Linked DNA regions of Callithrix jacchus. The protein of the gene in region 2 interacts with the protein of the main gene of each other region in a biochemical or structural test. Links are inferred from orthologs where the notes say so. Each region holds a gene or a part of one and is shown on either strand. Other genes may lie near its edges.

The links.
Region 1: the proteins of STX3 (region 2) and SNAP23 form a complex in vitro, tested with the Homo sapiens proteins (3 studies listed by BioGRID). The link is inferred for Callithrix jacchus from reciprocal best matches to the Homo sapiens genes STX3 and SNAP23.
Region 3: the proteins of STX3 (region 2) and SNAP25 form a complex in vitro, tested with the Homo sapiens proteins (2 studies listed by BioGRID). The link is inferred for Callithrix jacchus from reciprocal best matches to the Homo sapiens genes STX3 and SNAP25.

The regions. Positions count from the first base shown.
Region 1 is NC_133509.1:30,171,914-30,182,903, reverse strand, and holds the start of SNAP23 (synaptosomal-associated protein 23), read right to left. Parts: upstream 5,320-10,990; 5' UTR 5,236-5,319; intron 3,808-5,235; exon of another isoform or gene 3,700-3,807; 5' UTR 3,603-3,699; intron 3,081-3,602; exon of another isoform or gene 2,955-3,080; 5' UTR 2,914-2,954; intron 747-2,913; exon of another isoform or gene 668-746; intron 1-667. Other genes in the region: ZNF106 (zinc finger protein 106), read left to right, coding at 9,898-9,984. UniProt on the Homo sapiens protein: Essential component of the high affinity receptor for the general membrane fusion machinery and an important regulator of transport vesicle docking and fusion.
Region 2 is NC_133511.1:117,088,331-117,098,579, reverse strand, and holds part of STX3 (syntaxin-3), read right to left. Parts: intron 8,918-10,249; coding exon 8,809-8,917; intron 7,946-8,808; coding exon 7,872-7,945; intron 7,661-7,871; coding exon 7,526-7,660; exon of another isoform or gene 6,421-7,525; intron 5,614-6,420; coding exon 5,503-5,613; exon of another isoform or gene 5,384-5,502; coding exon of another isoform or gene 5,273-5,383; intron 3,677-5,272; coding exon 3,593-3,676; 3' UTR 3,563-3,592; intron 376-3,562; coding exon of another isoform or gene 328-375; 3' UTR 1-327. UniProt on the Homo sapiens protein: Potentially involved in docking of synaptic vesicles at presynaptic active zones. Apical receptor involved in membrane fusion of apical vesicles.
Region 3 is NC_133506.1:17,322,945-17,333,965, reverse strand, and holds the start of SNAP25 (synaptosomal-associated protein 25), read right to left. Parts: upstream 7,148-11,021; 5' UTR 7,028-7,147; intron 1-7,027.

The DNA.
Region 1 (10,990 bases), on a different chromosome or scaffold from region 2:
TGGACTAATACAGACTCCATTCCAGGAGATGACAAATAGCAAAAGGCAAAAGGATACTCCCTTCTTGCCTTTTTTCTCCCCAATTTTTATGTCTTTACGTTTCCTCCCGTCAACTGCCCTTCCTAACACCGTGATGGCTAATGATTAAAGAAGAAAAAAAGGACGAGGTGAAAAAAACACTTTACAGTACTTTTCCCCCCGACCACTCCAATCCCGAATTGTGAAATTCATTATTTAACTGATCCTCTTATTTGTGCAGTAAAGCCGCGAAGTAAAGGTGAGCTTTTACAGACAGCAAGGACTATCCAATACCAGGAACCTCAGAGTCCTTCCTCAAACCATTATCTCAGAGCTATCTGATCACCGTGGTCACCATATATGCAGTCTACTAATGTCAACCCCAGCAGCACAGTGGGAGTGAGGGGCGGGAGGAGATCTCTGTTTAATTTCGAGGAAGGGTCCAGGGAACCACCATCCAGCCACCCTTCCTCCACCTCCTCGAGGTTCTCCCGGCGCCTCCCCTCCTAGCTTCGGGCCCATCTGCCGAGTAAGGGCCAGGGCGCCCCCTCGTCCGCTTAAGCCTGACCCAACCAACTTTTCAACCAATACCATATACTCTCAGACTTCATACCGGTCAGCTCCCTCCATCCCACTCTTGGAGACTCACCAAGCGGGTGAAGCCACTCCTCTCCGGCCGCTGTAGCTGCGACACCCCAACACCAGACCTGGCGCAGTGCCCTAGTAGCGCCTGCGCGCGCCCAGGCCGCGCGCCTGCGCACTTCCCGTGCGCCGCGGACGCGAACACACCCCTGCAGCTGGAGCCAATCACGGTGCTGGGGGTTTAAATCTCCCTGCCACGCTGGCGGAGAGCCTGGGAATTCATCAGTTAACCGGATAGATTTCAGTCCTGCCCGAGTCTGGGAGGTGTTCATTCAATAAACATTTACTGAGGGCAAACCGTGTACCAGGCACTGTGCCAGATGAACGCTAAGGAAAAGAAAGCGAACAGAAAGCTTTCTCTGCCCTTCAGCGCCTTTCAATCTGTCTAGACTAAGATATAGATATGTAAACAAATTATAGTGGATGGAATACAGTGCATAGTACATTGAAAATCCGAGGCGTCTTTGGCTGATAATAAACAAAGCGTTTCATTCTTAGGGGTCTCTGGAAGTGTTCCCGGAGGAAGTGACTTGAGTCATGAAGGATAAGTAGGAGTTACCCCGGAAATCCGGCAGAGAAGGAGCTAGAGTTTCCCAGGTTCTGGGGAACAACTTGTGTCAAGAACAACATAACGCATTTTGGAAATTTCTAGCAGTGTATCCTCGCTAAAGGCTTAGTGCTAATCGTACATCCCCGAGTGTAGAGGAAGAAAGCTTTAAAAGGTCAACAATGGCTAGATTTTGGAAGGTCTTGGAATTTTGGACTAATTTGTACTATGCGCACTGAAAGCTATTGAAGGGTTTTAAGCAGATGGGTGATTATTGTAAACCATTTGCTGCAGGAACCTTTCCACGCACCTCTAAGAATAAAACAAAGTGCTGGAAATCAAGAAAAGAAAGTGCTTCAAAAGGAAGTAGTCTATTCCTAAGGTATCAAGGAGGACGAAGCCTGAGAAATGTTTAAATTTAGTAACACAGTGGTCACTGATTATCTCAGTGAAAGCTGTTTGGTGAAATGCTGGGGTTGAAAGAAACAATAGTTTGGAGATGGGGGAGATGTAGAGATAGGGACAGGTTGTAGAATGCTTTTGGAAAGGTTGGCCTTGACAGGGAGGAAGGAGGGAGGATGATGAAGGATCAAGATTTTTTGTTTTTGTTTATTGGATTTTTTTTTTTTTTGAGACGGAGTTTCGCTCTTGTTACCCAGGCTGGAGTGCAATGGCGCGATCTCGGCTCACCGCAACCTCTCGCCTCCTGGGTTCAGGCAATTCTCCTGCCTCAGCCTCCTGAGTAGCTGGAATTACAGGCACGCGCCACCGTGCCCAGCTAATTTTTTGTATTTTTAGTAGAGACGGGGTTTCACCATGTTGACCATGATGGTCTCGATCTCTTGACCTCGTGATTCACCCACCTCGGCCTCCCAAAGTGCTGGGATTACAGGCTTGAGCCACCGCGCCCGGCCTAATTTTTTTTTTTTTTTTTTTTTTGAGACAGAGTCTTGCTCTGTCGACAGGTGCCAGGCTGGAGTGCAGTGGCGGGATCTCGGCTCACTGCAACCTCCGCCTCCTGCGTTCAAGCACTTCTCCTGCCTCAGCCTCCCAAGTAGTTGGGACTACAGGCACACGCCACCATGCCCAGCTAATTTTTGTATTTCTAGTAGAGATGGGGTTTCACCATGTTGGCCAGGATGGTCTTGATCTCTTGATCTCGTGATCTGCCCACCTCCCAAAGTGCTGGGATTAAAGGCGTGAGCCACCGAGCCCAGGTGTTTTTTTGGGTTTTTGTTAAAATTAAGACAGGAGAAATTTGAGCACTGTAGGGAAGATTCAACTGAGAAATAATGTTCGAATAAAGGAAGAGAAGGGATAGTCAGTAGGGAAAGTTCTTGAAAGGGTAAGAATAGCAGCAGTTTCGAGGCAGTTCAAAGCACTGGTGAGAGGAGTGGTTTTGGAAGAAGTGAGGGAGGGAGAAAGAGAGAGAGTGAAGATACTTCCTTCCCCAATTATGAGAGGAAGAATGTGTCTGTTTGTATGTTTAGTAAAAGGAAGTTAAAGTTCTCATTTGATGACCTGTTTTCTCTGTGAGGTTGGAGATAGGATCATCTGACAGAAAAGGAGATAGTATTGGGAGTTTAAAGGAAAGTTGAGAAGATTTGGAATATTGTAGAAAGTAATACAAGAAATGGATAGAAAAACATTGTAGGACTGGTAAGCAGTACTGAGGGCCTTTTTAATATGGGCAAAAATGAACTCACCATTTTCTCCCTTCCTGTGTAGCTTTCTCAAGCAGTAGTCACTTTTCAAGGGCAGAGGTGGAGAAAATGCACAGTTGAGTTCATTTAGGGTTGGGATGGTCATTGATAATAATTCCATGGTTCTCAACCAGGGACACTTTTGTCCTCCAGAGGATATTTAGCAATGTCTGTGATAACAGGGAAATGGGGGGTGGATACTACTGGCATCTTGTCCAGTGATGCTGCTAAACATACACACACACACACACATACACACACACACACACAGAGAGAGAGAGAGAGAGAGAGAGAGAGACAGACAGAGAGAGAAAGAGAGACAGGGTCTTGCTCAGACTGGAGGGCAGTGGTGTGATGTTGGCTCACTGCAACCTCTACCTCTGCAGCTCAGATCCTCCCACCTCAGCCTCCCAAGTAGCTGGGAGTACAGGTGTGTACTACCACACCCGGCTAACTTTCATATTTTTTGTAGAGATGAGGTTTCACCATGTCACTTATGCTGGTCTCAAACTCCTGGACTCAAGCGATCTGTCTGCCTTGACCTCCCAAAGTTCTAGGATTACATATGTGAGCTAGTGCTCCCGATCTGCTGCTAAACATCTTATAATGCACATAATACCCTTGACAACAAAAAAGTATATGTTCCAAAAATGTCAGTAATCCCAAAGTTGACAAACACTAAAGTAGCTTACCTTAATAATCACCAATATCTGACTGTGGTCTTCTAAAGGCTTTTCCTTGAACGATGGGCCAGAGTTTACAGGGCAAAATAGTTCTTCCATTGCATGCCTTTGAAGGAGAGTAAAATGAGCAGCATACCATAGCCCTTGAGTGTTTCAAGGACTTGTGATGTCACAAACACAGAACTGGAAGTTTCCTGAACCTCTAGAAGCAAATCTGGATATACATAGAGATGAATGTAACTGCTCACTTTTATTTGAGGCATTGACGGTCTGGTTAAACAGAGATGTTATAATCTCAATAATATAAGAGGAACACTTCACATAATGATCAACCTTAATGTCATTTCCTTTATCTGATTAGTCTCAGTCACTAAAATTACGGCTCTGAGGGAATGGGTATGAGCTAAGTTTAATAATAAATATAGGCGGCTGGGCACAGTGGCTCACATCTGTAATCCCAGGACTTTGGGAGGCCGGGGCGGGCAGATCACTTGAGGTCAGGAATTTGAGACCAGCCTGGCCAACATGGCGAAACCCCATCTCTACTAAAAATACAAAAATTATCTGGACATGGTGGTGTATGTCTGTAATTCCAGCTACTTGAGAGGCTGAGGCAGGAGAACTGCTTGAACCCGGAAGGCAGAGGTTGCAGAGAACCAAGATAGTGCCACTGCACTCCAGCCTGGATGACAGAGTGAGACTTCGTCTCAGTAATAATAATAAATGTAGGCTGGGCGCAGTGGGTGACACCTGTAATCCAGCACTTTGGAAGGCTGTTCACTTGAGCCCAGGAGTTTGAGACTAGCCTGGGCAAGATGGTGAAACCCGTTTCTACCTAAAAAAAAAAAAATTATAAATACCTTAGGCATGAGTAAGAATAAAACCAGTTATAATGGAATGTCTGCTCTGTGATAGGCAGCATTCATGGATAAAACACTTGACCTATGTTATTTAATTTTAGCAACACCCTGTGAGATAACATTGTCTTAATTTTAGGGTTTTTTGTTTGTTTTTTTTTTTTTGAGACCGAGTCATGATCTGTTGCCAGGCTAGAGTGCAGTGACGTCATTTCGGCTCACTGCAACCTCTGCCTCCCGGGTTCAAGCGATTCTTCTGCCTCAGCCTCCTGAGTAGCTGGGACTACAGGCGCCCGCTACCATACCAGGCTATTTTTTTTTTTTTTTTTTTAAGTAGAGAAGGGGTTTCACCATGTTGGCCAAGATGGTCTCCATCTCCTGACCCACCCACCTCGGCCTCCCAAAGTGTTGAGATTACAGGCATGAGCCACCGTGACTGGCCCAACATTATCCTAATTTTAACTCAAGATCTTGAGGTTCCAAGAAAAATTTTAATTTACCCAAAGTCGTAAATTATTAGTAGCTAGTCCGAGATCTGAAACTCGGGCAGGTCTGTCCTAAAAGCTCTTGCACCTCCCATTAAATTTTAGTAAATTTTACAAGGAAGGAGTTATTTCAAATTTTAGCCTGAACAGTTGCCACTGACTAAAGGAAATGGCGGGACACCAAGGAAGGAGCTAGAGGGAGGCCGGGAAAGAACAAGGAGAAATAAAGAAAATGAAAAAGGGACCAGGGAGACTGTTCATAGCGTCCAATGCTGCGGACCGACTCTCCCGCAAGCTGACCTGCCTTTGTTCTTCCTCCATTCTTTTTGAGAAAAACCTCTTCCTGTGTGTCCGTTGTTCACTCTCTTGTGTTCAAATAAAGCTAGATTATTGAGAACGGCTGCAGGCAAAGGAAAAAAAAGAGCGTGACGGCCTCGCTGTGCGCCTGCGCGCTGGCGGCGGCTGTGGCAGGGCCCGGCGGGGAGCGGGTCCGGAGCAGGCTCCCGGACCCAAAACTGAAGGGGGGAGTCTGGGGCGTCAGGGAGCTCCCTCGCCTGTCTCTCGGCGGCCTGATGGAGTAAGAGGGGTTGGCTGTGAATGTGAGTATCGATGGGCCGGCCTGCGTTGAGCGTATTGGAGCCCAAGGGTCCTGGTGGTCTGTCCCTTAGGGAGATTGTGTGGCTGCAAGACGCGGCCCGCTTTCTGCTCCGGCAGGCTGCGGCGCAGGGGTAACCCAGCGGTCCACTCTCCCAGAGCCGGCGCGGGATTACAGGCAGGCGGTGCTGCTGGCTTCGGGGTACGGATTTTCGTGGGGGCGTTCCAGCTCTGCTCCCAGCCCCAGAAGGAAATGTGGCTCCAAAGCCTTGACCTTTAGGGGAAGCCGCTGACCTTCGGTCCTCAGTTGGGCAGGGAGTCCAAAAGACCCTGGTGCTTAAAGCCGGTAGTCTCAGGTCCCGCGACACATTTCAACCTCTCGCGACTGACAACCTTCGTTCCTTTTTCTCCTTTCCTTTCTCTCCGTGTGTGATGTATCTTAATAATGGCAACTAATTATGGAGCGGTTACTGTGTTCATTTAATATTTAGTCAGAATCTCGGTTTATAGTTATGGAGAGGAAACGCTTTACACCCTCCTCCCATTTCAGTTTGTTGTTTAATCATCTTTGAGAGTAAGATTTGTTGAGAAGTTCGAGATTCGCTTTTAGCAACTTGAGACTGCCATTCTAGGTCAGGGAAGTTCTCTTGCTTAGCAAACAAGTGCTGTATCCACCGTAATGGTTTATATCCAGCCTATTCAAACCACAAATAACTTTTGAGTACTTACTAAGAGTTTAGTACTGTTGTAAATCCCATGGGAAACCTTAAAATTTGCTTTAAGGGCCGGGCGCGGTGACTCATGCCTGCGATCTTTGGGAGGCCTAGGCGGGTGGATCACGAGGTCAAGGAGTTCAAGACCAGCCTGACCAAGACGGTGAAACCCCGTCTGTACTAAAAATACAAAAAATTAGCCGGGCTTGGTGGTGGGCGCCTGTAATCCCAGGACTCTGGAGGCTGAGGCAGAGAATCGGTTGAGCCCCAGGAAGCGGAGGTTGCAGTGAGCCGAGACCGCGCCACTGTACTCCCTCCTGGGCGAGAGAGAGGCTCAATCTCAAAAAAAAATTTTTTTTTTTTTTGCTTTAAGGCCCGTTCTCAAGTTTGGTCGTGAATGAAATAAGGGACGACAGTATTCAGATGCAACTAGAATTTATTTAGTATCTACTACACAGTTGCCAATTACATTTACGTGTGTCATAAAAATATTAATGAGATATTGTAATGGAAAGTAGGTTTCTGCAGCATTTCAAATGAGATCGCTGGGATTTTGCTAGTAATTTGCTCAAGCTAAACTAGCTAGAGTAGGTGGTGAAATTCACTTAATACGATTCCAAAAGCACGTCTTTTCCCAAGCAAACTGCATTACAGTTACAGTTTCTAGAGTTAACTTTTTTTTTTTCCCGGAGACGAGTCTTGCTCTGTCGTCCAGGACAGAGTGCAGTGGGGCAAACCCTGCTCACTGCAATGTTTGCCTCGCTGATTCAAGCAATTCTCCTGCCTTAGCCTCCCCAGTAGCTGGGATTACAGGCATCCACCACCACCCCCGGCAAATTTTTGTATTTTTAGTAGAGACACTGTTTCATCATGTTGGCCAGGCTGGTCTCGAACTCCTGACCTCAGGTGATGCGCCCACCTCAGCTTCCGAAAGTGCTGAAATTACAGGCTTGAGCCACCTCGCCTAACCTGGATCGTTTTGAGTAAAAGGAAGATACTAAAAAGACCATAGATTTCATCTGATTTTTATCTCTGGAATTCTCTTTTAATCTAGAACAGTTACCTTTTCCCCTCTCTTTCCCTCGATACCCCCTCCACGTGAGTTGTTGAAAGGACCTGGTCAGTTATCTAGATTTGTCCCTGATTGGTTTCTGGTGATAGCATTTCACTTGCTACTACAAACTGGAAGTTAGAGCAGATCACTTGATATGATTCAGGTGAAACTGAATAGCGATTATTGTACATCTAGATTAGAACACATGTAGTTTGAAGGCTGCTCGACAAGAGTAGAAAGGAATAATGGTAGATGCTAGATGATTTGGTTTTGGGACCAGGAATGGGTCAGTGAGAAGCCTATGCATTGTGTTTTGTAATTGGAGAATCTTGGAGAGTTCAGGATTAATTGTGTACCCAATGAATAAGAGCATCGAGGCAGACAAGTTACATATGAATACTCTACTTGGACCTCTAGCATGTGAAATCACTAGTGAAGCCCTACAGTCCAGTGTGTGTGCATGCATCTATTAATCTGAAAGAAACTATCAAGAAGTTCCCAGGTGTTCATCAGTAAAGGATTGGTAAAATAAATGTATCCATGTGCTGGAAAGAATGAGTCAGCTCTATATGTGCTAATATTGAGTGACCTCAGATATAGTGAGAAAGAAAAGGTGCAAAAGAAGGTATGCATTTTGCAACCACTGTGGTTTTATAAAAATATATGTATTGCATATACAGTTGGTCCTCCATATCCGTCCATGGGATCTGCATCCATGGATTCAACCAACTTTGGATGGATAATATTTGGGGAAAAAATTTTCATGAAGCTCTGAAAAAGAAAACTTGAATTTGCTACCTGCTGAGTACGTACTACATTGCATCCACAGAAATGAAGTTATGTGTAGGCATTGTAGTAGGTCTTGTATGTAACGTAGAGATGATTTAAAGTATACAGAAGGTATGTGTAGGTTACATGCATATACTATGCCATTTCACATAAGGGTCTTTAGCATTCTCAGATTTTGGTATTGAGGGGGATCCTGGAACCAATTTGCCATGGATAGCGAGGGACAACTGTATGTGCATAGAATATCCTCTGTGGAGTACAGTCAAAATCATAGAGGCAGAAAGTAGAGTGGTTGCTAGGGGTTGGGGAAGGGGGAAATGAGGAGTTATTGTTTAACGGATATAAAGTTTCAGTTACGCAAGATGAAAATAGTTATGGAGATGGTTGGTACTGATGTACATTATGAATGTATTTAATACCACTAAACTACACTTAAATGTTTAAGATGGTAAATTTTATATTATATATTTTAACGCAAAATATTGAAAAGTATCTCCAGAAAATAAACTTCTAAGAGTGGCTAGAATTGGTAGTGGCTAGGAAACAGAAGGGACTGGTAATCACGTTCCCTAAAAGCTTTTTTTTTTTTTTTTTTTTTTTTGAGACAGGGTCTTGCTCAGTCATCTAGGCTGAAGTGCAGTGGCATGATCATGGCTCACTGCACCCTGAAACTCCTGGGCCCCAGCAATCCTCTTCCTACCTCAGTCTTCTTAGTAGCTGGGACTATAGGTGTGTTCCACCATGCCCAGCTAATTAAGAAAAAAAAATTTTTTTTTTTTTGGCTGGACATGGTGGCTCAAGCCTGTAATCCCAGCACTTTGGGAGGCCGGGGCGAAGCACGTCATGAGGTCAGGAGTTCGAGACAAGCAAGAACAACATGGTGAAACCTGGTCTCCACTAAAAATACAAAAATTAGCCCATGCCTGTAATTCCAGCTACTCAGGAGGCTGAGGCAGGAGAATTGCTTGAACCCGGGAAGCAGAGGTTGCAGTGAGCCCAGATTATGCCACTGCACTCCAGCCTGGGCAACAGAGACTCCTGGGACTACAGGTGTGTACCACTAAACCTGGCTAATTTTTTGCATTTTAGTATTGTATTTGTATGTTTTGTATTTTTGTATTTGGCCTATTCTTGACATTTAACCCCTAAATATTTTAATGTCTCTAAAAAAAGAACATTTTCCCACACATTCTAATATAATTACAGTGAATAATAAGTAATTTCTCTATATTGTCTAATACTCAATTCTTACTGTCTAATACTCAATCCTTACTAAAATTTCTCCAGATTGATCATTTTTTAAAACTTTTAAAATCCAGTTTCTAATCATCGGCCACAGATTTAATTTGATTTTTATATCCCTCCAAGTCTCTCTTAATCTAGTAAAGTTACCTTTTTCCATCTCTTTCCCTCAATACCCCCTCCACATGACTTATTAAAAGGATCTGGTCAGTTATCTAGATTTGTCTCTGATTGGTTTCTGGTGATGTAATTTCACTTGTTACCACAAACTGGAAGTTAGAGCGGACCACTTGATATGATTCAGGTGAAACACTTAGGGACTATATCATAGACCATGTTGTGTGCTTTAGCTTTCCAACTATTATTAGTGCTGAGATTGATTAGTGAGGTCAGATGCTGAATCTGAGTTCTCCATTGTTAAATTAATGTCTCTGTTTGAAACCAGCTGTAAGCCCTTTTTTACCTTTTACATTTTGAAACGACTAGCATTAGTTATATTCAAAATAGAAGTGATTACTTTTTTTTTTTTTTAAGACGGAGTTTCACTCTTGTTACCCAGGCTGGAGTGCAATGGCGCGATCTCGGCTCACCGCAACCTCCGTCTCCTGGGTTCAAGCAAGTCACCTGCCTCAGCCTCCCGAGTATCTGGGACTACAGGTGTGCGCTACCATGCCCAGCTAATTTTTGTATTTTTAGTAGAGACAGGGTTTCACCATGTTGACCAGGATGGTCTCAATCTCTTGACCTTGTGATCCACCTGTCTCAGCCTCCCTAAGTGCTGGGATTATAGGCGTGAGCCACCGCACCCGGCCTAGAAGTGATTAGTTTAAAACAAAGCTCACTGCAAGAATTTTTTTTTTAACTGAATCCGTGTTAACTATTCCCTTTTTATAAAGGGTGAATTTGAAGTTTGGAGAGGTTAAGATTTACTCAAGGTAGTAGTCCTATGAAGTATTTTTGTCTAATTCCAAGGTCCATGCTTTTTCACCCTACTTTATGAGCTAGTATATAAATGTAAAATATTACTACTCTAGTAGTTACATTACTTGTATCTTCTTTGTAGCTTTTTAGACAGATAATCAGTGTCTAATAAGATAATTCTGGAATATCAGTAAACCAGGTTAGAGCTATGTAGTGTAATAGTCTATAATTAGCCATTCTGAAAATTAAAAAATACATGAAAATCGTATCTCTTGATTTCTAGAGTTTCAAAAAGTACCATACCTGGAACTAATCATAGCAGTCTTGATTGGTAGGCCTAAAGTCTTTTAGGTTTAAAAAAAGAATTACTAGTTAAAAATATGAGTGTGGGTTTTTTTTGGGGGGTCGTTTATTTTTTTTCCCATTGTTAAATGAAAACAGAGATGGAGGTCTTGCTATATTGCCTAGGCTACTCTCAAATTCTTGGGCTCGAACGTTCCTTCTGCCTTAGTCTCCCTTGTAGCTGGGATTACAGAAATGTGCCACAATGGCTTGCTGGTTTAATTTCAAAAACACTGATGTGTATTGCTTAAATTTTTGAAAAGTATGGAAGGATTTTCGGTGAAAAGTAAATCCATCCCTGACCCTCATGCCCTCATTTCTTTTGCCAGAGACCATGTCTGTTAGCAGTTTCACTGGAAACCCTCTAGAGATATTCTACATGAGTGTATATCATGAGGAT
Region 2 (10,249 bases):
TACATTGCAATTTCTGGGAGAATAATCCATGAGGTAGAAAAATACAGCACCTTGGGAGGATCTCCCAGGGGCTTTCCCAGGTGCAAGGCAAAATCTGAAACAGGACAGGGAGGAAGGAAGCAGGCTGGGTTCACACAGTCCAGGAGAAAAGGTACTTGAGAGCCGGTGGGGCAGGAGGAGGCTCTGAGGAGAACTCAGGGTCGCATCAGGTAGATCGCCTTCCCCCAGGGCTAGGTTGTTAGCGGAGTGTCAGGTCCAAGGGTGGTCACAAGGAAACAAAGGAATGGGTTGCACTCGCTCTCAAGGAAGGCCATTCAGACTCCATTCTCATCTGAAGACAAGGGTGGCCACACCAGGCTGGAGTGAAATCAGTTTCTAGAAGGCAGGAAAAGGAGGAGTTGATCAGTACAAAGGAAGAAGGCAAAGGGCAACAGAAAAAGTCATCCACAAACCGAGAAGGTGGGGAGGAAAGCCCAGAATTCACTATGAAATAGACAAACCCAAGACAGAACCTGGAGTTAAATATCCCACTATACAAAGATAACAAGCCCTACTGTGAGAGGGGGAAAAAAATAGAAAAGCCTCTAAGGCTTTTATAAGCCTTCTCACAGGCTGTCCACACCCATGAAAGGATGTGGTGGGAAGGAACGATCCCTAGTGAAAACACCTGCTCTGCAGGGCCCACAGCAGCACTCTCCTGAAGACAGGCTGCAGAAGCTCCTTTCTGGTTCTCAATCTTCATTAACTCCCTGCTGCCTTTCTTTTAGAAAGCAGAAGGGCACAATGAGAAGCATATGGAAAAAGTTCAGGGGTCATATTATGGCTGCTCCACCTTATGAGCTATGTAGCCTTGGGCAAGTTCCTTAACTTCATTGCTCTTTCCCCGTCTATAAAATGGGGAAGGATACTATGATCCTAGACCAAGCAGCTGGCATAGTACTAGGAAATATAAACACACTGTCTTCCCTCCATCCTGCTCAAAGACCTCTCTTCCTTGGGTGACATGGAGGAAGAGGGGAGTCCAGACCAAGGCAACAATCAGTCTTGACTTTATTAGGGAACACGAATAAACTACAATAAAAGCAGCTTAACAGTTGCCCAGCAATTTAGCATGTTAAATATAGAGTTAGTCAACCAAAAACAACATTTTAATTAGTCTGCTCCTCTTTGAGGAGTTACGTCCTCGAAAAATGATTCATACACATTCTGAAGTCCTGGAATTAGGAATGGAAAGGGGCACCATGAATTTGCATGTGATATTTCATCCAAGGATATGGGATAATAACAACTATTATATCTTTCTAAAATCTCAACATCTATTCCAATCAGATTGTTCGGAGCCAAAACAAAATTTAAACTTCACACAAAAAAGTCAAGTGCTAGTCTCCAAGTGCCAGAAAAAAGAAGGGGAAAAAAAAAAAATCAACTAACCACCTGTCTATGAGAGGCTGTTAATCTCACTGTTGTTTACTTTTCAAGATGAAGTTGAATATTCAATGCTATAATAAGCTGACTTTTAAACCCTCTGGTCACATGGAAGGAGGAGGAGTAAGAAGAGACACACTGAAATAAATATAAAAGGAAGGCACAGCTCTGGGTACTGCCATGGTTTTATGTGCCAAGTCTTAAAAATGTTTATGCCTATTATCTCAGTAATCCAACTCATATGAGTTTGTAATAAAGAGAAACTTTAAGTGAGAAAAATATTAAATAAGATTAGTCACACTGTCAGCTATAGCAAAATAACATAAACTTCCAACATTGTGAAAATGTTAAATATTTGTGAGCATGGCCACAATCTCGTGTTGACAATTAGATTTACAAAACGATTTTAATACTGTGGAATGATGCTTATGATTTTGTAACTGGGCACAAAACTATGGATAATATAATCTGAACTACATAAAACTATGTCTGAATGTGTGAACATGCCACGAGGTTATCAGCAATAATATTAAAAGTTGACTACTTTTATTTTCTCTGTATTTTATAGGTCAGTTTTTTTAACAATACATGCTATATTTTATTCAGAAAAATATTTTAAAAGTCACCGGCTGGGCACGGTGGCTCATGCCTGTAATCCCAGTGCTTTGGGAGGCTAAGGCAGGCAGATTACTTGAGTCCAGGAGTTCAAGATTAGCCTGGGTGACATGGCAAAACCCTGTCTCTACAAAAAATATAAAAGTTATCTTGGCGTGTTGGTGTACACCTATACTCCCAGCTACTCAGGAGGCTGAGGCGGGAGGATCGCCTGAGCCTGGGAGGCAGAGGTTGCAGTGAGCCAAGATCACGCCATGGCACTCCAGCCTGGGTGATAAACATAATGAGACAGCGTCTCAAAAAAAAATCTAAGTCACAAAAGTCTTCAGTTGCATATGTGGAGTAAAAAAGAAAAAAATAATAATTAAAAGTCTTAATAGTTCCAATAGCCAGATTCTTGATATGCTCACTATTATTAAATGCGATTCAGGCTGGGCACAGAGGTTCATGCCTGTAATCCCAGCATTCTGGGAGGCTGAAATGGAAGGATCACCTGAGGTCAAGAGTTCAAGACCATCCTGGTCAACATGGCAAAACCCCATCTCTACCTAATATAAAAATGAGCCGAGTGCAGTGGCATGTGCCTGTAATCCCAGCTACTCAGGAGGCTGAGGCAGGAGAATCGCTTGAACCCAGGAGACGGAAGTTGCAGTGAGCCTAGATCATGCCACTGCACTCCAGCCTGGGTGACAGAGCAAGGCTGTCTCAAAAACAACCAGTGATTCAGTGATATGTCTATCATTTTTAACAAGTTTTCAAAAAAATTAATAGTCTAAATTTTAATATCACTATCCTCTAAGGTTCTCCAGGCTTTATAGGTAATGATAATGGCTACCTTCTTTTACAAAGAGAAGCTAGGTCCCCTATTAGCTGTGTGAACTTGGCCCTGTTATTTAACTTCTCTTTGACTGAGTTTCTTTGTCAGTAAAATGTGCATCATACCGTATCTGTCTCACAGGATGTTGTAAGGATTCAATGATACATGCATAACGTGTTTAGTACATTGTCTGGTACAACGCAACACTCAAAAGTGTGTTAACTGTCATCATTTAAGACCCAACCAATCAGCAACAAAAAAAATCTGCAGACCCAAATTCTAACTCAGAGCTTCATTTACACTGAAAAGGAAACAGAAAGTAAAGCCCAACATCTATGAAAATCAGTAAGAATTCAGAAGACAGACCCCAGATCCAATGTACTCAACTTAGGAGCATGCTTCCTGAGTAAGGGGAGTTGAATGGGGTGCTCAGGTACGCTGGGAGAAGTGGTGAGAAATATGACAAGACAGAGTTTGGGGACAGAATCTACAGGATAGGAACAGAGACCTCACCCATGTACTGCAGCCAGAAACCAAGAATAGAACTGTAAAGAGATAAAGAATCCACAGGCTACCGAAAAGTTTTAGAAAGCTCAGTGTGTCCAAGGACAATCATAGTGGGAAAGAAGAAGAGTTTGAAATCCCAAGCTAATTTCCTCTTGTGGAGCCAAATCCAGAGTCCCCAAGAACCATTCGTTTACTTACATTTCAGTGCAGCAGCCTCTTAGGCCACTCTTATTTCAGCCCAACGGAAAGTCCGATAATCAATGCTAAAATGCCCAGCAACACAACTACTACCACAATGATAATTATCAATTTCTGGAGAGAGGAATAAGACAAAAACAAATTATCACAAACAACCAAAAAACAAAACAACTCATCCAAAACCCAACCCCTGTCACCTCTACATAGAAAACACCTTACCAATCTGAATGAGAAGCCAACATCTCTACACGCAGACATCCTTCTAGGATACTTTAAGACAGGGTTTTTCTCTATCACTCAGGCTAGAGTGCAGTGGTACGATCATGGCTCACCGCAGCCTCAACCTCCTGAGCTCAAGTGAGCCTCCTGCCTCAGCCTCCTGAGTAGCTAGGACTATAGGCATGCACCACCATGCTCAGCTCATTGTTTTATTTTTGTAGGGACAGAGTCTTCCCATGTTGCCCAGGCTGGTCTTAAATTCCTGGGCTCAAGTAATCCTCTCACCTCGGCCTCCCAAAAGGAAGGCTAGGTATGGTGGTTTATACCTGTAATCACATCACAGGTATAAACCCCCACACCCAGCCTAGGACATTTTACATTTTTTAAATTACTTACAGGCTAGCAATGCCAGCAGAGGGAAATATGAGGCTGCTCTCAGTTCTCAGCTCTCAGCTCACACTGCAGTTCTGCATACGTGGACAGATATAATCAGAACCACTATCATGGGGTCTCTAAGGAGCACTTGGCCAAGATAAAAAGTGGCTGACTGATTTTTCCCTTTTTCAGAGGGAATGTAAAGGCATTTTTGATAGAGTCCTGATTTCCTACTTTTGTCCATTTGTCCCCTAAAGTACACTTTTACCTGTCAGACCCAGTCCACTGCCTGGATATGAGAAAATGCCATCCATTCTGGATTCACCATGTCAAATAACTTCCCAGTCCCCTAAATCCCTGTATAAGCAATAGGTTAAGTTGGAAGAAAAACAAAGAACAACAGTGTCAGAGCCCAAGAGAACTAGCCAAAGGAGAAAAGTCTAAAAAGCAGAAGCCACCAGAGCTGGATACCCACAGTCATGAGCCCAGAAGCCTAGAAGTCCTTAAGCAGGAGGGGCACCAGAGGGTGGGCAAATATGGTGGTGTTGTAGAAAGAGAATGCCTGGGATCGAAACTTGAATTCCAGTGCCTCTACTCGCTGGGTGGCCTGAAGTCAGTTACTGAACCCCTGACCCTCAACTGTCTTCTTTATAAAGTAGAAATAACAGGTACTCCATTAGCTATAAGATAATGTATACATAGCAGTTAGCATGGGTAGAGAAAACTGCATACCTCAAGTACAAGGTAGAGAAAAAGAGAAGGGAGGCAGGGTTTGGGAGCCTGGAGTGAAAGACAATGAAGAGGGTTTCTGAACAGAGGAGTCAAGTGTAACATCTGAAAGTCTCATGAGCTAAGTCCAGGAGAAGATCAGCAGCAACACCTGGGCCATGCATCTATCCTACAGAACTGCCTTTCAAATGTGGGTTCCTGGGGAGATAGCTTGTGAGCCAGATCCATGCAAGGCACACCTGAGAAGGAAGGGCAGCCAGCTGGTATCTAGGAAAGGCTGAGGGAGGGGTTGATGAGGTCATGACAGGGAGGGTGGGCTCAATGACACAGGTGGGGATGGCCAGGGAGAGGAGAAGCTGCTAAGACAGCTGAGACTAAGGTGCTCACCCTCCGGGCTTCACTCTGATACTTGACAGCCTTTTTGGTATCTGCCACGGCCCGCTCCACGAAGCCCACTGACTGGTCCATGTTGTTCTCAATACGGTCAATCATGGATCCCTTTCCCCAGATGCAAGAGGTGGCGGCAGCAGAAACAGAGATAGGGAGAGGGAAGAGAAAGAGCGAGACACAGCTAACCAAATGGACTCTCTTCTCTGAAGGCAACAGGAGAGTCTCACCTTCCGGGCCTGACTCTGGTATTTCACAGCTTTTTTAGTTTCATCTCGTGCCTTCTCCACGTGGTCCACTGTGTGCATGACATTCAACTCTATGTTATCTAACATCTCACCCTGCAAAGAACAGACTCTGGTCACACACAGTAAATGCCCCAGGACAGTTCTAGCCAATGTGGGGAAGGGATTCTCTTTCTTCCCATCTTCAGTGGTTAAGAGGAGAATCCAGAAACCTTGATGCATGGCCTTCCAGAGGGCACGCATTCACGTTTTCCATGGGACTACCTGTGGCTCCTCAGTCCTTGGTGGTGGGTTGGGGTGGCAGTCACTTGTTCAAGAAGCTTTCACTGAATTTTCCTACTTCTCTGTGACCAGCACTCCACCAGGCATCCAGAACATACTGTCTAGATGCCTGGTAACTCCTTATAAATACACTCTGAGGTATCCCTGGACAACCTTTTTTATTTATTTTTCACACTTAAGCACATGGAGAAGAACCAAAATTAAGGATATCTCATGTTCTTAGGACATTACCAGATGCTGATCTCTTCCTGGTCATTCAGACCTCAAGCAACATCATTCAGCCTGAATTGAGTACATTCACTAACTGCAGAAGAGTGCCTGGCACACAGTAGGTACTCAATAACTAGCTGAGGTGGGGAACATTTGCTTTCTCTAAGTTATTTCCAGGCCCTTTAAGTGACAGACGTTGGGTTTACCCAGGCTATTTGGGTATATTTTCCCTTCCAGACAGTGGTCTCTTGATAAGATTCCCAACAGTCTCCTAGCAATTACTTCCTGACAGGGAAGTTTAATCATTCCAATGAATCTTAGGTGTCTTAGGAATTCTCCTCAACTACCCAGACCCTCCTCAACCCTACTCTGTCACTCTATGGCGGTCTGTAAACAGAACAAGGCACTTACCATCACTTGAATCTCAAGCCAGTTCCTCGGCAAAGCAGTGTGGGGGAAAAAGAAAAGGTGGGACGGAGGGACTTGAGAAATGGTCTCGGAGGCCAGTGGGGAACTGGGGAAACCACCCAGGCCCTCAGCAGGGAACCAACATCAAAAACCAGTCAAGCCGTGCTCGGGCTTCAACTAGGTTTTTGCAGTCTGCCTACTATGGAAGCAATTTTCTCTCCTATCCAGGTGTCAGAGCTGCTGAAAGTTCATGGCAATAGTGCACAGCACCATGACCCTGTGGCACACTTAACTGTCCCATAAGAACTGGGAACCATCTGACTACATGAAACTAGCACCCTATGCAGGCAATCCAGAACTCTATCCCAAGCAAGCATGCCTGGGACAAAATGAGCTGTCGAATTAAGCACCATGAGTGTTGTGACTCCTTCTGTAAATGCTATTTCACTACTCCTTCATTCATGTTGTCTGCTCTGTGCCTTAGTGAAAGGTGTCAAAATTTTTAGAAAAACACAAACAGGAAAAACAAAACAAAAACTTCTGTTAAACCTAAGCTTTCCCTGTAAACCAGAGAAAAGATCACATTTTCAATGTCATCAGTGAACTGGTCCATATCAGGAAACTGTTTTAAAGCATCACCATTAGGAACCCCCATCTCTGATTTTTAAAAAAGAAAAGAAAGAAAAAAGACAAATCCTAGGATGACTGCTTGAGCCTGGGAGGTCAAGCTGCAGTGAGCTGTGATCATGCCACTGCACTCTAGCCTGTGCAACAGAGCAATACTTCACCTTAAAAATAAAAATAAATTTAAAAATGTTAAAATCTGGGGGAACTAGGTAATTGACAGAACACATCAACCTCTATGTCAACTATCAACAACTACAAGGCCAAAAAGATGGACAAGAATGAAAAGGCCAAGATCACCCAAAGTGTCAGCGTTCAATTTGAATGCACACTTTCCCATGGAATTCTGTTTCTCTTTTATGCAAATTCCCAATGGTTCTCCCACCCTACCTCACTGGCTTCCAGAATTCCCTTCCTCCCTGTTCTCCAGAGACCCTGAGCTTTCCTCTCCTCCCTCCCCACTCTGGGACTCACTGCCACTTACCTGATTCTCCACCAGCATGGCGATGTCCATAAACATGTCATGAAGCTCCTTGATGCTGCTCTCCAGCCTCACAATGTCCTTGTGCCGTCCCTCAATCTCACTCAGGGCTTGCTTGGAAATCTGTGAGTCAATGATCTACAACAGGCCACACACAGAGAGACTGTCAGCTACCCCTGCAAGAAAGGCTGCCCCTGTCACAGCCCTCACACACACTCCTCGGGAGCTCCTTGCCTCCCTGAACTCCCTGCACCTGCAGCACCCCCTCCACCTGCTGGACCGCGTGAGCTCCACAGTGGCCTCCCTGCTCATGAGAGGGATATGCTATCCGAGCACACGGGGCACTCACCCCAGAAGTGAAGATGGCTGGGTTGCCACTCTCCAGCATCTCCTCCAGCTCCTCATCTGTTGTCTTTTTGCCGGCTTTATAACAAAAGAAGCAGAGCATCAAATATAAGATCACAGTGAAATACCATTTGATAAGGTCCCTGAAAACTAGGAACGTGACTTCCCTATAAAGACCATGGTCTTTACAACACTCCCCTAATTGTCTCCTGACTCATCTTATTTCTCCCCTAATCCAAGCGATCCTTAAACATTGTCAGCAGTTACCTTCCTAAAGCACATTATCTCATTACATTGCTTCCCAGCTCAGAGCATTTCTTTGCCGCATTCACTACACTATGGGATCCAAGGCCCTTATTACATGCCAGTTCGTGGGCAAGCCCTCCCTCAATCCATCCTAACCTTAAGTTACTCCAGACACACCCTTTTCCCAGACCCTGGATGACCTGCCACTCCTAAACACGCTTGCTCTTTCTTGAGTACGTTCATACCATTCCTCTCACCCAAAGCACCTTCCACCCCGAAGGGCCCTGCCTTCCTAAAGGGTATCCCTAAAATTCCTAAAGGGTATAACTTTATTTATTTCTCTATTCCTCCCAGCAACTTACACCACACTTTGTATTTCATAAATGTGCTTTGCTGTCAAACAGACAGCAGAATGATACAATGAGTCCACAGGAGAGCAACTGTTTGGCAAGCAATTCCCTTCTATAGAGGAGAAGATGCTGGACCCCATGCAATATAACTACTTGGGCCTGATAAACACGGTGTCACCTTTCAGCCTACAGCACAGCATTCAGGATATGCCAGTGCGATAGCATCTGCCCTAGACTTAGGCACAAAGTGTGGGTGCTGCTTGCTCCCCCAGGGCCTCAAAAATTGGGATGGATAACCAGGTGGCAGGAAAGGTGGAGGGCACACGCCAAACCTCAGGCACATACTAATTTCAAGCTGCCGCTGGATTCGCCCTTTGCTGCGTTCTCGGAAGTCCACCTGAGCTTCATTGTATTTGGTCATCACCTCCACAAACTTCCGAGAAAGAACAGAGTGCTGTGGGACGATGTAAAATGCAGTCAGCCCCCAGTGGTTCTGTAACTGTTATGGAACCCCTCCCCATCCCCACATAGCCGTCTACAGTAGCACTGGACTTGGAATCGACCAGGTATCAACCCAAGGTTTTTGTTTCCTAGCTTTGCGCCCCTGGGAGAGTCCAGCGCCCTTTCCAAAGCATGGTTTCAGCACCAGTTTACTGAAACCGGTTTACTGCTGACCTCACAAGGTAACTGTGAGGCCAGCAGTCATCTCTAAATCTCTAAGCCCTGCAGCCATATGGACTAGCAGCATTTTTGTGGCACAACGCTTGCATTCTGAAACTGTCAGATTCCCTTCCCACATGTCAAACTGACCAAAGATCCTTGAGTTCTAACCCTAAACTCATCTCCCCAACTTCTCTTGCTTCTAAGCAGATGTTCTCTCAACAGCCCTGGATGCCTAAGCTAAAACCTTCCTAAGAATTTGTATTCCTCACTCACCTCTCAGCATCAAGCCCTACTTACTGGTTTTTCATTTGGAAAATCACCACTATTTATACTTTTCCAAACCCACTACCACCATGCAAATTTAGACGAACGCCATTACAAAAACCTAACTAGGGACATTCCAGTCCCCTGCCTCCGTCCCACTTGCAAACAGTTTCTAAATGGCTACCATAATAGTCCTCCTAATATACCACCGCCTGAAGCAAATGCCTGTAAGTTCCAACATCAGATCCAAATTCTCTAGACTGCTCCTCAAAGACCTCTAGAATGTGGCACTACATTATCTACTAAAAATTATGTGCCCACTATCCCACAGCAAACCTTTTCCTCCGAAAGCCTATTTATTGTCTTCATGTCTGCCCCTTACGTCTACCCCCAACCACTACCAACCACCATATACCCTACTCCTGCCCCTGTACCTCTCAGAGCGGGGAGACTGCTTCCTGAGCCTGCTCACATTGGCACTCTTGGCCCAGCCTCCTCTGGCAACCCCCAGTTCTTCCTGACATCTTTGGACGCTGAGAGCACCATGCATGTGTCCTTTTTTGGTTTTTTTGTTTGTTTGTTTTGAGATGAAATCTCGCTCTGTCACCTGGGCTGGAGTGCAGTGGCACGATCTCGGCTCACTGCAACCTCCATCTCCCGGGTTCAAGCAATTCTCCTGTCTCAGCCTCCTGAGTAGCTGGAACTACAGGCATGCACCACCATGCCTGCCTCATTTTTGTATATTTAGTAGACATGGGGTTTTACCACATTGGCCAGGCTGGTCTCAAACTCCTGACTTCAGGTGATCTGCCCACTTCGGCCTCCCAAAGTGCTGGGATTACAGGCGTGAGCCACCGCA
Region 3 (11,021 bases), on a different chromosome or scaffold from region 2:
AGCTCAACTGAGAGAATTCTCTGAAAAAGCAATGAGGCAGGAGTGTAGAGCTGAACTCTGGCCTCAGGGGGGCACCTAAGAGACTTTCATTTTTTTACTTGCTGTTATCAGTAAAGGACAGAAACCACTGATTCAAGGTTACAGGCATGGAAAGTCATCTCTCAAGTTCAAGATCTGTAACTAGTGTCATTTGAATGAAGGAAGTGATGGAGAAGCTGGGACCAGATGGTCATTTTGTGGAATCTGCCACTTTTGAGGAAAATAACCTTTTTCTGTAAGTAAAAGTGGACTACCTTGGAATATAAGACACAACGAGTCAGCAGAAAGGACCAATAGTCTCAATTTAAGACATGAGAATTAGACATCTTTGAGTAATATGAACCACATCAACAACAGCAAAGAAGGGGATGAAATATGTTTTTCCACAACCAAAGAAAGCCCAGTACAGCTGTTATTCAGTGTCAGTTGGAAGCAGGCATCATTTGACTGAATTTCTCTAGAATGATTGTTAAGCATTTAAAAGGAAATGCTAATCCTTAAACAGGATTTTCCCTCATCTCTTTTTGGGGGATACAGATTTGTTGTTCTTACCAGTAAATCAGTCACTGCTGAGGTTAACCTCTGTAGTCAACAATAAGAAAATCAGTTAGGATTTCCTCTTGTGATACTGTGTTTTACCTTGGTGGAAAGATACTGAAATCTGCACTAGGTTGTGATAAGGCAAATGTGTTCCCCAGCCCCTTGCCCCAGGGACATGTGAATTTATTTGATGTGTGACTTTCATAATTAAATTATGAATTTAATAAATCAACGTTGTACCACCAGCTGCTGATCTCTGACCTCATAGGCTTTAAAGCTTCCTTCTCCCCTTGTCCCATGTTTTTAAAGTTTTCCTGTAATGTCATTTTACCCCACATCCTCCCAATGTGATTAGTTTTTGAGCTGGCTATCAGTATCATGAGATTCAGGTCACATAGGAATGTTACTTCTAAAGTACTTTACAGCTCATAGATTCTATAAAAGTTTCTGTTTCCTCTTTGCTAAGCAGCAGAGGAAGTAAGAGGATGAGTGAGGGAATAGCAGCTAATATATTGCTAAGTCAGACACAGGAGATGATCCAAAAGAGGTCTAGAAAGGAATTTTAAAGAACAGTTAATTCAGTTGAAAAGAGAATTATACAAAGTTTAGGCAGGTTGTAGGAGACAGTATGTGCCAGATAGCTACAAATATGATTGAGAAGGGCAGGAGATACCCAAAGCAGTGATGACTCAGAATAGGGCTTTGAGGAAGAAATCAGGATTTCTTAACTCTGGGAAGGCTTCAGAAAGATGAAGGCAAAACAATTTTGAGAGGAAAAAATAAGGATTGGGATGAGGGAGGCAATGAATGTAATTAATCTTCCAATTAGGGTCAGATCGGTCACTGAAGCGTTATTAAGATGATGCCAGCTGAGGCCATTGGTCACTAGGCCAGGACCCATTGCCTGGGGTTTTCAGCACTGATTTCATTGATTTTTGAATGGTAGGGATACTGGGCATCATAAGTCGACTTCTATCATTCTGCCAATAAGGAAACCAAGTTCAGCAGTGGTTGAGTGACTAATTTAAAGACTGTGTGATTCCAAACAGGAATAACTGTACAAGCAGTTATTTCAGGGCTAAAGCTGGGTATCCTGGCTCTAACCAGTATCCTTACCTTCAGGCCTTGCTACCCAGTAAGGAGGAAAAGGCAGCAAAGAAAAAAAATGTCATGTGTACTCTCTATTCCTTATTTGGCCAATATGAAAAATGTGGATGATGCAAGAGATATCATAAAATATACTTCATAGTTTAATCTCTAGAGTCAGACTGATCACAGTTAAGTCCTGGCTCTGCTTTGTGACAAGTTACTTACCCTTACTGTGCCTCAGTTATCTCATCTGTGAAATGGAAATAATAATAGTAATCTGACCATAAGGTTGTTAGGAGGATACAGTGAGCAGTATAGGTAAACACTTTTAGAATGAGAGTCACATTCTTTTCCCCCATATGCCTATTCTGATTAATCACTGCTTTGGGTACCTCTGTCCTTCTAAATCAACTTATGGCTTACTAAGTGTGTTCAAATACTATATCTGAACATACGTGTTTGTGGGTTACACTATTTATTTAGAAATCAGAAATTCCTTGGACTTTTATATTGGGTGAAGTGCATGAGAGCCTTGTGAAGAAAATTATGTAGGAAGAGTAGGTATTATTGTTAAGGCAATAATAGCAATTCTGAGGAGTTCACAGTGCAGCTGGGGTTCTCTAGAAATTTCTACGAAGCCTTTTTCCTCTTGTAAGACTTTTTTTGTTTTAACTTTTTGTGCACTCATCATGTCCTACTTCCTCAATGCTATGTCGTACCTCCTCCCTTCACCTTACCTGATGCTTATGTGGCCCTTGGACTCAGTTTAATAACCACCGACCTGATCTCCTAAAGCATCAAATGCCACTACCTCCAAGTTTCCCCTAGGTAGTCAGCTTGAATATCAAAATGTTATCCTGTGGCATCTCTACTGTCAGTGTTCTGGTGAAGAATAGATAAAGATAGTCTCTTGATGCTTCATAGCCAGAAATGAAATGGCAGTAAAATCTATATCTGTCATTGGCATTTCTTCCTGTGTACAAACCCACTGACTATTTTGGCTTAACAATTCTATCAGCATTTGGAATCCTGAAGCTCTGCTGTGAGAATAGTAACTACAAGGTTAGAAACAAAATGGGTGTAATTCAGACCTCGAGGTAACCCTGAAGTGAGGGTAAGTAGCAAGAGTCAGCAAGGTGGGCAGGGAAAGAAATTGGATATACTGCCGACCCCAGTTTTTCAAAATTCTACAATTCCATCTTTTTCCTCCCATTTTTAGCCTCTTGGGGCTGATTCTATTTGTATTGCTGCTCAAAACATGCTCAGAACTAATGACTTTTTTCATCTTTCTAGTCAGTGTACTTGGTAATGCTGAATACTCAGAGAGAGCAATAGAGTGTTCTACACCATGTTTATTATTCAAGTGCACCTTCTGGGACTTTCTGGGACTTCTCATCACCAGATTCCTGACCTTCTTTTCAATCTGTCTGGCAAGTACTCAACTTGCATAATTTCTTTTAGTCAGTAATGGAAAACTGAAACTTGCAATTAACTCTCAAGTAAGAATTATATAACTATGTATGTATATATATATATATATATACATCCTGCAAAGTGATCCTAAAAGACGTTTCAGTGAGAACTGATTTTTTTTTTCATTAACTGTCTCTTATGATACCAATTTGCTCCTTTCTTCTTCTGGAAGAATGCAAATTAAATCCACTCTGTTAATAGCAATTTCTGGATATTAAGAAGGACCTGGTCATATTGTTTTTTCAGCTTCTGCTCAGAAATAAACTGTAGAGGATATAGCATCAAATTCTTAGCTTGACATTCAAAGCCTTCCACAGAAGGCTCCAACTTTCCATCCTAGCCTATTTCCTCCAAGCTTCTTACTCCACCCAAATTGACGGGCATTTTCAGGGTTTGCTAACTGTAGAGTGGGCTTGCCTAATGTGATGTTTTGCATATGCTGTGACTTCAACTTAGCAGAATTCTCCCACCTCTCTGCAAGCTCCAAAAGCCACCTCAAGGCCTGCCTCTTCTCTCAGGTGGTCCCACTCTACTGTGATATTGCCCTCTTGAATTTATGTTCCCTATTTTTGGTCACATTCACTTGGAAATTAATCACATATATCATAATAATTTTTCTTCTCATGTTTTATTGCATTTTCATTCTGGTTTTATTTATTAACTTATTGTTTATTGCTTTTATTAAGATTGCTAGATACTAAACTTATTAAGGTCAAGGCAAAACCATGAGATTTTATATCTCCCATGGGATTCATTTATTTATCTGGTGCATACAAGTTGATCAATATCTTTCTATCCGGTTGGTCCTTGCTGACAAGGGATGACATTGCAGAAATGTTTCTAGTGCTGAGGCTTAAAACATGGATTTTTCCTTCCTTTATAGAATTGTAAAGCAGTCCCATAATGTGAGAAACATTGTTTATTCACAGTGCATTATCTAAAAAGCAGATTATCTGTTTTTCTTCTTCATGTCTCCTCTCTCAACCTCTTACTCAAATTCTTTTTCTCATTTTTACTCATTGTCAAAACCTACGCTGTTAGGCTGAAGGCTGACTGCTACGCAGCTTCTAGGTGTCACAGGCAGAGATATGTCTTTCAGCTGATAACACTCACTCAAGGGTTAACATTTAGAGCTTAGGAATGTCTTTAGACAAGCTAATTAAGGGGTAGTTTGTATTGTGTTTGTGCATGTGTGGTCGTGCGTGTTTAACAAAGTAAAATAAAATTGTAAATTTTGGGGAGATTTTGCCATGAAGAGGTTAAGAGGATTGTAAGTTGTTTTGTAATTTGAACGTTGAGGTGGTAATGCAGTAAATGTCGATGAACAAAAACAGGCACCGGAGGGTCTGTGTGAATGACTCTTGGCTCATCCTACGTCCATCTACGCCTGCCTCTTCTCACCGCATTGCCCTGGATTTTAAAAATTCAAACTTAAAATAGGAAATTTCTCTATTTTTTCCCCCTGAAGCTTGTCAATGATATAAATGTTAGATACATAGTTCAATTATATATTTTTTAAATTTCTCAGTAAGCTATTCTAAAATTAGCTTTCTAATTGTGCAAATTGCTTTTTCCCCTCAGCTCTGTGCCCTTTGCCATCTTTACTGCAGTCCTCTACTTCCCCCCCTCCTTCCCAGTTTTCCACTAGCAAACAAACCCAGCAGTAATTGCTAATGTCCAAGCACGTAATTCTGGCAGCATTAGGCTTTTCATTTGACGCAACTACGCAGAGAGCTGTCTGGACATGCAGCATGAAGTTAAAGCATTTTTAAAGATTCCTGCCCATATTTTCTTCTCTTCTCTCACCGCTAAAACACAGTTGTTTATTTATTTTGTCTGCAGATGCAGAGTTTTAAACTTCTTTTATACATTTACATACTCTTATATAAATGTCCACTCGAATAATTTTACATCCATGCACAATAACAGATCAACATATACATACATGGAAACACATGGTCATCCACAAAAAGAAAAAAACACTAGGAAATAATTGAATAGCTAGGAATGAAATCGCCTTCTGTATATGAACAGGGAACTTTAGTATCTGTAGTTTACGGAAGATTGGAGGTATGACTATCTAAACACAATCCAGGGTCTAATTTGGGGTCCTTTAAGGGGATCATTATAGCATTTCTTTAATGTGTTGTATAGATTCTTACATATGACGCTGTTACCCTCTTTTTGCTAACTACTCGAATGGCGTAATTTTGATACTGGTCATTTTATGCTAGTTTTATCTATATTAAACAGAGAGAAGTATCCCTGATGACTTTTGCTTTCTCAGATGCTCCAAGCCTCAGAATGGAAAATGGTTAAAGTAGTTATCACCACCTCAGCAAAATCCTGCAGTGCCATAAGAGAAATTGCAGTAGGTCTTTTAGGTCAGAGTTCAGTTCCAGTCTAACACCATGGTTCTTTACCTGCATTACCCTGAAGAACATAGTTGGATTCTCCTGAGGAAGACCAGGCTTAATGTTTTCAAAATCTGAAGCTATCAGCCTGCAATAACCAATGCTGATAGGAAATACTTCCAGTAACTCTGAAACCATGGCCAAAGAGGTTATACAGTATGGGACCTGTAATATTTATCAGATGTGTTTTTGTGGATGAATACTTGTGTTCATGCCTGATTGCAAGATGGGGGGAGAAGGAAAATAAACAGGGATTCATTTTTAAAGTTGATTCTGCTTAGTTCAGCTAATCTCAAATTGTTATCAAATGGAAACAGGTAGAGAGACGTATCCTCCCTATAAACAGATAGCATTGGCTTCTTCATATATACACTACTTATGCCCACCCAAGATCTGTAGACAGACCTACTCTGTGTTAAAAAACAAAACCCTTGATACCGTGCTAAAGGATAAATGCATATTTTTAAAAATGTATCTATTTTCTACCTAAAATAAGAGGCAGAAGGCAACACAGATTTCCACAAGTAGATTATTATTTTGTTGAAGCTATGAAGGTGAGGAGGGAAGCAGAAAATTGTCGGCAAAGGAGTCTCTGTGAGCAAGATTTATTTCTTTCTTGTTTTCTTTTAACCTACTATGACTGCTCTATTAAGAGTCTCCGTAAGACCGGGGTCTCAGAGAGACAATTTGGTCTCCAGCCCTGGCACATCCAGCCCTGGCCAGGCGTTTCTGCCGCAGGCAGATGCGGCGTTGCGGCCGGACCGCTGTCCCCGGTGCTGAAAGGTCGAGGGCGCCCGCGCGAGCCCTTGGTATTGCTATCCAGGGTGCTGAGCGCGGGCCGCCGCAGTCCCCGAGGCCAGCCCACCCGCGCCAGCCCTCCGCAGAGCCCTCCCACCCGGCACGACCCGCCCGCCCCCCGCCAGCCTGCAGTTGACGTGGAGCAGGCGGCATAAATCAAGTCCGCGGGGCATGGAGGCTGCTGTCGCTGCAGTAGCTCAGCTTGCCCGGGGCGGGAACTCCCCCTTCTCCTTTAGCCTCCCCAGCACCCACACCCTGTCTCCCCCTTAATTCTTCCCTGGATAATAGCACCCTAAAGACAACAGTCCTAATAATAGGGTTAGAACGACGTGGGGGGGGAACCCAACAGCCCTAAACATCTCTGAAAACTGCATGGCAAAATGGAAGAAAGAGGGGGTCCCACTACTGTTTCAAAAGAGTAAGTTATTCGGTACGTATCCTCGCTCTTCCTCCCTGTCGCTCCATTTGCAGGGCTCCCGTTTCCCCTTCCCCCGACAGCTCACCTCAAAAACACTTTATAAAGCCCCCACCAGACGTGCACACACGGAATACCGCACCCTAAGTGCACCAATACTTGTATTTACCCAAGCCCATTCGGACTGCCCAGCTGCTGTCCCTTCTGGGTATGCAGCCATCCCGAGCCAGAGCCACGACCTGGGGAGGGGGCTTCTTACCTGGGCTTCTCGGGTGGATGTGTTCTCCGGGCCTCTGCAGGTTGCAAGTGTGGAGGAGCCGCGGAGCAGGGAGGGAAGGAAAGACTGCGCCTGACCTCCCCGAGGTTTCGTCTTCAATGCAACGTGAGCTCTGCCCTCATCAAAGATGGCCGTCCGTCTTGACGTCAGCAGCTTTTAATAGCCGCCCGGCGAGGGGCGGGAGGAAGTGGGGGCGGGGCACCGGCGGGGGCGGGGGCGGGGCCCGAGCTGCGGCGCGCTTGACTCGGCTCCCCGTGCGCTGCCCTGCAAACAGCCGTGTTTTCGCCTTCTATAAACACCCGAACGGGGCGATTCTTGTGACTCCATTTTAACACTCAGTCTTGGGCAAATGCGTTCAACCCGCGACTGTATTGCTGATGTTCTCTGGTGCCTGTATGTGTACATATGCGTATGTGTATAAATGCATGTGTGTATATACTTTATAATACATGTATTATATGTATATATTTGTGTGTGTGTGTGCGCGTATGTGTATATATATATTTCCCCACATCCCACCCCGTTCAGTGGAATCTGTGGTTGAGTCATGTAAGGAGAAGGGAAGGTAGAGGAGGGGTAAAAGGTAGTGATGGGAGGAGTGGGGGGAAATTTTCAGCGGCGATTTGTTTCCTCCAAAGAGGGTCCGGAGGGGCATCCCCGTCCACCCTCGCCGGCTCCATATATGGCCAGGCTACGTGGGTTGCTATTTTTATGAGTGACTTCTTCATGTTACCGAAGCAGCGTCGAGGGCTTGCAGCTCCCTTTGCTGTGGTCAGCCGGGGAGCGAGGCTGGCGCACGTTATTTTGAAGTACGTCAGAGCCAGGCTCTCTGAGCTGTGGCAGGAGTCGGGGGAAGGAGAAGGAAAGCGGAGTTAGCCCAGCCAGCGTAGGTTTGCAAAGGCTGGGGGATACAAGTTGAGTTGTTTGCCTAGGGCAAAAACGGAGGACGCTGCTTTCGGTGGAATTTGCAGTCGGCACTCGGGTTGCGTGCTGGGTGTCTTAGGGGTACCCTACGGAGTCAGGGATGCCCCGAGGAAACCGTCCTAACCGCCGGGGGAGGTGGGGGCTTAGAAACAAGGACAGCTGGGACGCCGCCGAATCTGGTGGTTCACTGAGTACCTGTGCAGGCCTCCTCGGGGGCCCTTGGGTGCTCAGATCAGGGCGGGGAGACAAAGGCTACTTGTGCTGGTCATATTAGAGATTAAAAATGATAATGATAAAGCAACAATCCTAACTGTCCTTCCTGGCCGTGCACAGGTCTGGGGAGGGGGTGGTGCGCGGATAGCTCGGCGGTGGCCGCCTCCCGGATGATTCACAGATGTTGGGGAGGCTGTCGCCGGGCTCTCCACGGGTAGGGAGGGCTGGGGAGCGCGTGGGAGGTGGGGGACCTCGCCTGAGGAACTGTTTGTACTTTTCCGGGAAGGATGTGATTAGAAGTCGTGCCTCGCAATGTTAAAACTTGATGGCCTCTTTTAGGAGATGGAAAATCCTTGTCTCGCTTAGGAGAAACCATTCAGAGCTGGGTTTGGATAAACGGCGTGCAACCTCTCCCCCTGCACACACCTGCCCCACCAAACACACACACACACACAAACACACACACACACACACACACACACACACACACATCCCACTGGCCTGAGAGCCAAGCTCAAGCAATAATACGGCCTTTGATTGCACTCTATTGCGGAGGGAGGGAAGCAGGGAGGGGGGAAAAGAAGAAGAGTTGTGAAGGCTCTGCGTTTAGAAAGAGTGGGGCTTTTAAGAATTTAATAAAGGATACCTTTAATTGAAATCAGTAGACATCATTGTTTCTTAAAGATTCTCTGGCCTGAAAAGTTTTTTTTTTTGACATATTAATGTTTGCCATAATAATTAACAGTGTTTGGATGTTTATTAAAGCCATATTCCTAAAAAAAAAAAAGGCATGTTGCTGAAAGTTTTTTACTTAAATATTCATTAAACACTTAAGATTTCCATACAATAAAGAAGAAAATCTGCAAAGTCCTTAGATACTAATTGTCAAAAGTCTCCTGATTATGGCTCTTACTTTCATTATAAACCAAGCTGGAATAGGGGGAAAGTGGCAATGAAAGCAATGTACTGCAAAATCCTTTATAGTCAGATTTTTTTTCCCCAAAATGTGACACTTTAAAAAAAGGCAGCATGCGGAAGTTTGAAGAGAAAAAAACAACCTGCAGAGAGAGAAACAAAATATCTGTATGGCCCTCAGACTAGAAATCATTCAGGCAGAAAGTTTTGTGAAGGAATGGAGGAGGTGGGGGATTTTCCAGGTTTAAAAAAAAAAAAAAAAGTTAAAAAGCAAGTATGTCAGTGATGGAGGCTTCTCCTGCAGGCAAAAGCTATGTGGAAGTCACAGGGAAGGACGGGCTTGGTTTCTGAGTTTTCAACTGCTGATGCCCCACACTGACATCTTTTAAAATGACAGATAGGAAGAGAGAGGTAGACTGTTTCGAGGCAGACTCTTTCAAGGCATTACAGAAAATACCATGGACCCTACAGGATTAGCTGGTGGCGGTGACAGCATTTTCTGTCGCTAGTGCTTGTTTTGAAAATGATGCTGTTTGAGAGGTTCTTCATCTTGCTCTGGGAAAGGTAAAAAAGTCTAATTTGGAAACATAAACATTGGGTACATAAAAGTTTGCTAAGGATAACCAGATAACCCTAAATGTATTTTGGATATGATAATGAGATTTTTTCCCCCCTAGGATTTTCTCATGGCATGATTAAAACAAAACAAAAACAAACAAGAAAACATCATCATTTTGCCAGTAGGGAACCAACAGATTCATGTTACTCAGGGTTTGCAAAGGCCTGAACCATACAGGGAAGGAACCATTGCTCCAAGATGGTTCAGCTGCCGTGGGTTATTTCTACAAAGGACCAACACAGAGTATCTAATCGTTAGGATGAGTAATGAGAAAATTACTTGCTTGGCTAGATGGATATTTACACTATGATAATTCAAGCCTCTGAAAGCTTTTTTGGTACATTATGCCCTGAAGTATTCTGGTTTGCAGTAGCTGTAGGTCCAAGGTATTTAGCTTGTATCTCAAAGGTAAGGTGCAACATTCATTGTTGACTCAATAATTACAATTTCATAAGGAATAATAATAAAAACTTGTCTAAAATCCCATGTGATCTTTCCAAAGTCAACTTGAAAATAGTTTAGAGATGGCCCAGCTTAGAAGCCCCCTCTCTAGGGTCCTCCTCTGGGAAATGCCAGGCACTCTATGACAATGTTTTCAAAACACTGTGAGGGCTCAAGAATATTCAGTTTGGGTGCAAGAATATTCAATTTGATATATCAACTGTTTTGATTCCTTGTTTGCTTTCTACATGGTTTGCTTGCCACTTTCTCTTCATATATTCTTCTAGCCCTTCACCCAGTTCCCCACCCCATTTATATATAGTGAAGTGCCTTAAAATGCCTAGAATAGTTTAGCTCTGGGTTTAAACTATCCAGGCTGTCCTTGTTCCCTGAAGCCTCTAAGGTGGATATATATTTGTGAGAGGTAAAAAGAGAACCAGAAATATTAGTTACAGTTTTTGTATTGCTGTGTTAAGAAAAAATATGACTGTGCACCCAGAATGTTAAATAACATTTATTCTTTACTACAGACAGTATTGTGGGAAGGAAGAAGGGGACTGCCCAGCAGCGAGAGGCTGGATGTTTCCACACTTTCATTCCTTGATGCAGCAAAATTACAGCCTTTCTTTTACAATGCATCCTGGGATCCTCCACAATGCTGATACATGCCTGTGGTCAAGTAGAAAGGAAGTACCTGTGACAATCAGGAACAGAGAAGCAGAGAAAATGGTAGTCCAAATTAATACATTTCAAAAAGGCTATTTGATAGGGTATCGCAGTATTCTTTGAGTAAATCTTTTAGGAATCATATTCATTCTGTAACCTCTTTGTATCTCAGTTATCTCTTAGGTAAAATGGAGACAA